Ovis aries: one gene and its partner. Each later gene encodes a partner of the first gene's protein in a complex. Links are inferred from orthologs where the notes say so. Each region holds a gene or a part of one and is shown on either strand. Other genes may lie near its edges. The genes, in order: GIPC1 and PLXND1.

Region 1 (4,299 bases):
TGACTATACAGACTTCTGTTGGCAAAGTGATGTCTTCACTTTTTTTAAATATGCTGTCTAGGTTTGTCCTGGCCTGGGAAGGGTGCATTTGTGTCTTTGTTTCTTGTACCTGCTTCTGCCTAAGAAATCTCAGTTACAAGCCAGACCTGGAGATGGTGAGATTACCTAGTTCTTTCATCCACATATGTATACTGAAACCCTGCTCTGTGCCATTCTCAGGACTGGAGGGTGGGGGACAGAGAGGGAACAGAGATGGAGACAGACTCGTGAATGTCAGCTCCCTCAGGGCTGAGACTTGGGTTGGCTGGGTATCCTTTGTAATCTAGCACATAATATGTGCTCAATAAATATCCACTGGTCAACCAGCAAGCGAACAGACCGTTTTGCCCTTGTCTTTCGTACCACTGCAACCTAAAGATGCTTTGCTAGCTGCTTTGCAAACTCCTTCGCTATTGCACTCTCCTAAAGTGTGCTGTATCTCTCTGTCCGCCCTCCAAGCCTTTGCATGCCCCGTTCCCTTTACCAAGAGCATATTCATTCAGCTTACTCGTAGACGTATCTGTTGAGATAGGACAGAGCCTGGCACGGAGCAGGAGCGCCTTAAATATTTGATGAGTAAATGAATGAATGAATGCCCTTGTCCATTGTCCATCCAGGACGCTGGACACGCGGGACCCTCCCTATTCATCTCAGTCCCCCGCCCTCCCGCCCAGAATGAATACATCTTTTTATCCGCTCTGAGGGTGGCCGAGCTGAGACATGGGCAGGCCAAGTGGAGGACTGGATTAGGGACCGCCCTTGGCCCCCTCCGGGTATCCTAAAGGGTTCCCTTTTCTGGACTTTGGAAGTTTGTATCCTTTCCCCCTCCCCACCCCCAAACTCAGTATCGGTCACCTGACTTCCACGACTAGTCCCCCGCCTCTTAGCACCCACAGCACCCCACACGGACACTTAGCCAAGAACACGTGGTCCGGGGGCCCCAGCTTCCCATTGGCCGCTGGCCTCCTTCCTCCCAGAGATTGGCTCGGGCTCGGCCTCAGCTCCCCCTTCCGCCGCCTCGCGGTGGAACAGGCCGCCGCGGCTTAGGAGGGGTGGGAAGGTCCAACGCTCCGCGGCGGGGGAGGTGTCGTGAAGAATCGCGTGCAGCGCAGGGATCCCTCTGGAATGTTTCCTTCGGGTTCCACCCGCAGGGGGGCGGCGTGGAGTGGATTGGCCGCGAGCGCCGGGCGGCCGTTTCTGATTGGCCAGATGCGGGCGCCAGCCCCGCCCCCTGGCGGTGGCTGCGGGAGAGGCCCGGGCCAGAGTTTGCGGAGGGCCGAGCTGGGCGAGCTGGGCGGCGGCTAAGGAGGCTCAGGTGAGTATACCCGGCAAGGCAGGGGCGAGGGGGTGGTCCATCGCGGCCGCTCGAGGGGACCCCGGAGCAGACCCGCGAGATCGCGAACCCGCGGAGATTCGGCCTATCCTGCGGGGTGGGGCCGGCCCCATGGACGCGGCTGGAGGTCTAGGCTGAGTGGGGTGGAGGGGCGGGACGGGGTGGGGGGAAACGTCCGAGTCCCCTTCCCGGAGGACCGCCTGCCTTCCCTCTAAGGTCAGGGGTGAACGCCTCCCGGCGCCGGGATGTCGTCTCCAGCCGCACCCCAGCCCCCTGCACCTCTGGAGAGTTCCCCTCCCGGTGGGGACAGGCGCAGAGTCGGTATTTCTGACAAGTCCCCGAAGCTGGCCTTGTCCCCGAAGCTGGCCTTGTCCCACTCGTCCAGGGCCTGGCGAGGGGGTGGGGTGCGCCTTGGGAGGATCGAGGTCCCGATTGTAATAATGAAAACAATCACCCGGGCTAGCATTCATTGAACACTTCCGTGTCAGGTATTTACCATGCGGATCATTGAATCACCCCTCATGGAAGTTGCTGTTACTTCTTTCAGAGGTGAAGCAGCAGACCCAGAGAGGTGGAGTGTCTTGCCTAAGGTCACACAGCGAGTAAGTGGCAGATCTGGGACTCAAACCCATGCTTCAGAGTCCAGAACTGGAATCTCCGCCACTAGACTAGGTATCCAGTGGCTTCAGGGCTCAGGTGTTTCTGACCAGCTCCTCCCACTCCATTCCCTCCAACCAGGCAGCCATCTGGGGCACACCTGCTGGTCTTCGTTTTCACCAGCTGCTCAGACAGGAAGCTGCCCCCATGTCCCTTTTCCCCAAAGCTGGAAAAGCAAGGCCAGACTACTGGGTCCTAAGAAGAGAGAGACATCTGTGGGAGAAATAGGTGGGTGGTGGGGACCATTGGGGTCCTGTGGCTGCTGGGCCCCTAGGGAGGCCTGGGCCGCGGACAGTAGGCATTCTCCCTGGAAACACCCATGAGCCGGTTTTTCAAGACTGATTCAGAGGCCTCCTGCCCTCCTCTTCCAAGCAATGCACTGCCAAAAAGGGGAGCATGGGCGTGGTGTCCCCTTCCCAGCTTGTGTGAGCTCTCAGGAACCCCCTTCCCATTTCCTGCTCCTCCCATTGCAACGCTGTGTGGCTGTAGGCTTGTTAAGTTCCGGGCCCTCCCAGTGAAGAGAGGGTAGGGATGTGGGATTCCAGCCAACCTGCTCAGTGCCACTAGCTGAATTGAAGCTCATTTTCTCCATACCTGTGTTCAAGTTTAAGAGGAGACTGGGAGTGTGGTGGGGAGGTGGCAGTTTGAAACGGTACAGTAGGCATGTTCTGAGGCTAGAGGGGCTCAGAGAGTAGTCAGAATGAGGGCGTAAGACACATTATTCATTCGTTCTGTACATATTAATTAAGTACCTGCTATGTGCCAGGTGGGCTTCCCTGGTGGCTCAGTGGTAAAGCATCCTCCCACCAGTGCAGGAGACACAGGTTTGATCCCTGGGTCGAGAAGATCCCCTGGAGGAGGAAATGGCAACCCACTCCAGTATTCTTGCCTGGAAATCCCATGGACAGAGGAGCCTGGTGGCCATCGCAAGAGTTGGACACAACTTAGCAACTAAACCACCACCACCACCACAGGCCAGGTACTGTTCCTGGCATAGAGGATACAGTAGTGACCACAACAGAAATCCCTGCTCTTGGGCAGCTACCATTCTAATGGGGGGGGGGGGGGAACAGGCAACAAACAAGTTGTTAATAACAAGTAAATAAAGAAAACACTTGCAAGAGGTTGATAAATGCTATAAATAAAATATGAGGGAGTGGCATGGTAGAATCTGTAAGAAAGGGGGATCTCGGAGGAGGTAACTTTGGAGCCAAGATCTGAATGACAAAAAGAAGCCAGCTTTGTAAGGATCAGGTAGGGGGCACAGCCAAGGCAAAGGCTCTGAGGCTGGGCCAAGCTTGGCATGGTATGGCTGGGGCAGGAGAGAACCCACAGTGTGATTCTGTGGGGATCTGTGGGTCACATTAAGGAGTTTAGAGCTTTTCTTCTATCACGTGGGAAACTGATGTAAGATTTGAGGCTGGGGAGCAACACGATCTGGTTTATGTTTTAAAATAGAGACATGAAGTGAAATAACAGCCTAAGACTGGAAGACAAGGGTTCTGCCAGAACAGCATGTAATTAAGTCCGTGGGCCTGAGTTGTCTAGACCACAGGGGTGGTTGTAACAGGCAGGGACAAGCCGAGGAGGCTGCTTGGAGGAGGTGGCCAGGAGTAGGCCTTGACAGGCAGAGGGGACTCCCTGGGCAGGGCAAGGGAAGAGGCAGTAATAACAGTGAGAGTAATAATTTTCTTAAATCAAATGTCAGGCAAAGTGCTAATTGAGTTACTTGCATAAACTCTTTGGATTCCCATAAGCACTCTGAGAGACAGTAATTCTGCCCATTTTTCAGATGAGGAAACTAAAGCGCCATCAAGTGAAGTGACTTGCCCACAGCCACTCAGCTGGTAAGTGACAGGGGTGGGATTTGAACCCAGGCCACTCTGCCTCTTCTGGCCTGGAAAACAAATTCATAAACCACCCACTTTCCTTACCACCATTATTTCCCTGTCCTGGGTAAGACATGCAGCCAGCCTGAACCAGGGCATCAAGTGTAGGCAGACTAAGGAAGTTGGGAGTTGGTGAGCAGGATGTAGGGGCCCTAGAAAAAGGAGGGAGTGTGAATCTTGGCAGCTGACTAAAGATGATACAGATAGAAATAGTAGTAATTGTCACCAGCATTTATGGAACTCTTACTGGAGAAGGAAAGGCAACCCACTCCAGTACTCGTGCCTGGAGAATCCCATGGACAGAGGAGCCTGGCGGGCTACAGTCCACGGGGTCACAAAGAGTCGGACACAACTGAGTGACTTCACTTTCACTTTACTGGG
Region 2 (3,799 bases), on another chromosome or scaffold:
TACTTGACGGCCAGTGGGGGCTTGTCTTCCCGGATGCTCAGGATGGCCTTGAACAGGTCATCCAGAAACTTCTGCAGCGTGCCCTGCAGGGGAGTGAGTGGCGGCCATCAGCCCAGGAACACATGGGGGCGGGAGGGGGTTGGTGACAGGCACCTCTGGCGGCTGTGGGGAGCCCGTGGTGCTGGGGCTGAGCAGTGCTGGGTGAACGGGAAGCTGTGTGGCCCCAGGCTGGCCTCCTAAGTGCTCTGGGCCTCAGTTTTCCTGTCTGTGAAATGGGTTGGTGAAACCCACGGCACAGGAGTGTCGGAAGGACTTGGACACAGAGCAGGGAATTGGTGGGCTGGGGTGTGGGCTCTCTGCCTCTAGCCATGTGGCCTTGGGAATGTTTCTGGGCCACTACTGCCTTCTCTGTCACTCCAGCGAACAGAGAAGTTGTTGCCGGGCACCCTTCAAGCTGGGGGTGCGGCTGGCCCTGCAGGGGAAGAGCTGTCCCCCGCTCCCCCAGCGTGTGGTCCCAGTTGACCCCCGGGAGTGAGGACATGCGGGGGGCGGGCCCACCTTGGTGGAGAGCAGGCGGGTCAGGTAGATCTCCGGGAGCACCTTCTTGCGGTGGCTCTGCCGGTGGGACTTCTTGGGCTCTGCTAGCTCGTCTGTGGGCAGCACCTGGGAGGCCCGGGCTGGGTCAGTGCTGGCGCCGGGCACCACCCTTAGCTGCCCCTGGGAGGCCCTACCCGGCCCCCGCGGGTGCCTGGCTCTGCACACTCCCCAGCCCAGCCTTCCCCAGGCCTGGGAGCACGGCCTTCAGAGGCCCAGGGTGGCAGGAGGCCAAGTCCACTCCCAGTGAGGGGCGGGCACCCCCAGGGCCAGAGGCAGGGCACTCACCAAGTGGAAATACTTCTCCGTGTCCAAGTCTTTCACTGCGAGACGGAAACACACACGATAAATAAACAAGAGCCAGGAGCAGGGGGAGAGAGAGCGAGCAAACGAGAAATGGAGGCAAAAAGCTGGAGAAAGAAACCCAGTGAGATGGGCACAGCCAAATAGATGTGTGGAGAGGAGACGAGAAATGCACAGAAAGACAATGGAGAGTGAGAGCTAGAGACACGCATAGAAGGAGGCCCAGACAGAAAGACAGAGGCGTTGAGAGAGACAGAAAGGCGTCCACAGGGGACAGGAGAAGCAGGGAGATGATCACAGATGGACACGGGGCAGCTCCCCACGAGGGCCCACTGCCCCGAGCCCAGACCTCACCAGCTGCTGGAAGGGACCCCAAGGCCTCCAGGAGCCTAGGACCCCCAAGCTTGGGGCATCTGAAGGTAGGGATGCGGGGGTGAGGCAGGGACACAGCCCAAACCCCTGATGGCCTGGCGCCTGCCCAGACCTCTTACAACCGCCTCCCTGCTCCTGGGGCCCCTCTCGGCTGCCTGCAGGAACCCAGCGTCGAGGAGGCCTGGCCACAGGCCCCACCCAAGCAGCACTGCGGCAGGGCGCCGCACCCGGCCCAGCCCGGCCCTGCCCCTGGAAGCCTCAGTTACCCACCCCCTGCCGGGGCTACTCAGGAGGGCCCGGCCCCCTGTCCGCCCGCACTACCTCGGCCCAGGGTGTTGTCCTTCTTGTCTGTGAGGCTCATGGCCAGGGAGGCGCCTTCGGGGATCTGATAGGGAGAGAGGCCGCGGTCAGAAGGCAGAGGTCAGGGAGGGTGGCGCGGCGGGGCGGGCAGGGCCGGGGCCCACCTTGTAGTGGGCCAGCGTGTTGAGCTTCTTGCGGCCGTCCTCCACCACCGAGGTGTCATCCAAGTCCCGCAGGATGTAGCTCTGGGTGCTCGAGGCGAACCACTCTAGGGGTGGGGGACCGGGGGTGAGGGCCGGGGTGTCCCCCACGGGGAGAGAAGCAGGGGTCCCCCCAGAGCTCTCTGAACCTCTACTCCTGCATCTGGAAGGCCGGGCGGGGGGGGCCGGGCGGGGGCACGGAGCCGCGGCTCCACACAGCCATCCGCGGGGCGGTCACTGGGTGGCCGGGCCTTCATCACCTGCGGCGAACTCCCCACGGGGCCCCAACATCAGCTCCTGGCTGATGGGCACCGTCTCCACATCCCTAGAGCCCCAGACAGCACACACGTGACTGAGCGGGGCCCGTCGGCCGCCCTCCCACCCAGCCCACCTAGGTCCACGTCCTCAGCACGCGGCCACTGGGAGTAGGGCACGTTCTTGCAGAAGGCTTCCAGAATCTTCTCCTTCACCTGCGTCAGCGTGTCCGTGTCCATGGCGCGCACGCTCAGCGAGTCCATGCCGCAGCCTTGAAAGGACACGTTCAGGTTCTGCAGGAGAGAGACAGGGGGCTCAGCAGCTGCCCACCGACCAGACGGGCAGACAGCCTGCGGGTGGGGGTGTCAGGAGCGAAGCTGGGAGCCCCTCCACCCCCCGAGCCGGCTCACCCGGGGCTTGGCCTCGATGTTTTCCCGCAGCAGCCACTCCTCGTTGAGCGTGTAGCGGGCTTTGCCCGTGATGGCATCGATGGAGCCCTTGTTGATTTGCTGCTTGATGGCGCACAGAAGCAGGAAGAAGGGCTCCCCCACCGTCTCCTGGGGGCGGGGGGCGGTCAGAGGCTGAAGCCAGCTGCCCACTCTCCAGACTCGAGCCCCGAGCCTGTGGCCCCCACCTGGACCGCTGCATACCCGCTTCCACCAACCCCCCCGCAGCTGCCTGCTTCACACCTTTTGATCTTGGTGCCGCTCAGCCCTCCCATCCCCACACCCAGGGCGTCTCCCTGGACTCCCAGCTCAGACATCGCCCAACCTGGGCGGCCGCATTCATTTTATCGCGCTGGCAACCTTTCCAGGTAGCGGTAGCATCCTCACGGGCGAGGCTCAGAGAGGGCAAGCAAGCTGCTCAAGGTCACCCAGCAGGGAGGCGGCAGAGCTGGACTCAAAGGCATGCCAGGGAGGGCTCGGGGGCTGAGAGAGTGTCTTCCTGACACGGCCTCTGTTCCCAGGGTAGCTCTGAACCTTGATTCCCCCACCCGTATAATGGACCCTGTGGGCCAGCCCCTTTCCCACATGTGTGCAGAGACCACAGTCACTGGTCCTGGCAGAGATGGCAGGAAGATGAAGTGAGATCTCCGGGGCAGGGGCACGGCTGCCTGGTGCCCTCACCCGCAGGCAGCTGTACATGCAGATGGACATCCAGTTGGTGAGCATCTTCTCAACCACGGACTCCGTGCGCCGCAGCATCAGCTTGGGGTTCTTGGCAGCTGAGGCGTCGATGAGGTCCACCAGCAGCTCCTTCATGATGCCTGTGTAGTACTCGAGCTTGCCGTGGAGCGCGATGGTCAGCAGGGAGGCCAGGCTGCACCTGTGGGCAGGCGTGGGAGTGGGGGGTCAGCCACACTGTGAGGCCCTGGGACCCAAGGACCATACTGCGGGGGCTCCAGTGCCCCCCTTGTCACTGGATGAGGCAGGTGCAGCAGAAATCTCCCTGGAGAAAAGCCTACCCTCCCTGCTGCTTAACCACCATGCCCACGAGCCCCGTCCTGGGCAGGCAGGACCAGGAAGGGGCAGAATGGGGAGACGGGCCAAGGCCTCAGGGCCTGACTCTGGGGAGATGCCAGCTGCCCCAAGGACACGGTGCCCTGCAAACTGCCCCAGCCTTGGATCCAGCCCGGCAGACCCAGGATGCGTTGTCCTTCCCCAGAGCCTGCACTGCAGCCGGACCTGTCCCGCACCGCGAAGTCCTTCTGCTGCTCCAGCGCATGGACGAAGACGATGAGAAAGTGCCTGTTGTTGAGCAGCGAGGAGAACAGG

What was found.
Region 2: the proteins of GIPC1 (region 1) and PLXND1 are in contact, whole or in part, in a crystal structure (PDB 5V6T), measured with the Mus musculus proteins. The link is inferred for Ovis aries from reciprocal best matches to the Homo sapiens genes GIPC1 and PLXND1. Residues at the interface, in NP_061241.1 of Mus musculus: His61, Glu141, Ala142, Leu143, Gly144, Leu145, Thr146, Ile147, Thr148, Asp149, Asn150, Gly151, Phe156, Lys158, Arg159, Arg190, His191, Tyr192, Glu193, Ala195, Arg196, Leu198, Lys199; in NP_080652.2 of Mus musculus: Glu1400, Met1889, Glu1893, Arg1899, Gln1902, Gln1904, His1905, Glu1908, Ile1918, Tyr1919, Cys1921, Tyr1922, Ser1923, Glu1924, Ala1925.

The regions. Positions count from the first base shown.
Region 1 is NC_056058.1:9,604,195-9,608,493, forward strand, and holds the start of GIPC1 (PDZ domain-containing protein GIPC1), read left to right. Parts: upstream 1-1,284; 5' UTR 1,285-1,354; intron 1,355-1,860; 5' UTR 1,861-1,869; coding exon 1,870-1,974; exon of another isoform or gene 1,975-2,044; intron 2,045-2,110; exon of another isoform or gene 2,111-2,257; intron 2,258-2,795; exon of another isoform or gene 2,796-3,008; intron 3,009-3,821; exon of another isoform or gene 3,822-3,876; intron 3,877-4,299. UniProt on the Homo sapiens protein: May be involved in G protein-linked signaling.
Region 2 is NC_056072.1:56,125,473-56,129,271, reverse strand, and holds part of PLXND1 (plexin-D1), read right to left. Parts: coding exon 3,710-3,799; exon of another isoform or gene 3,690-3,709; intron 3,351-3,689; coding exon 3,152-3,350; intron 2,582-3,151; coding exon 2,435-2,581; intron 2,318-2,434; coding exon 2,161-2,317; intron 1,838-2,160; coding exon 1,734-1,837; intron 1,655-1,733; coding exon 1,591-1,654; intron 1,317-1,590; exon of another isoform or gene 935-1,316; intron 918-934; coding exon 883-917; intron 664-882; coding exon 559-663; intron 84-558; coding exon 1-83. UniProt on the Homo sapiens protein: Cell surface receptor for SEMA4A and for class 3 semaphorins, such as SEMA3A, SEMA3C and SEMA3E. Plays an important role in cell-cell signaling, and in regulating the migration of a wide spectrum of cell types.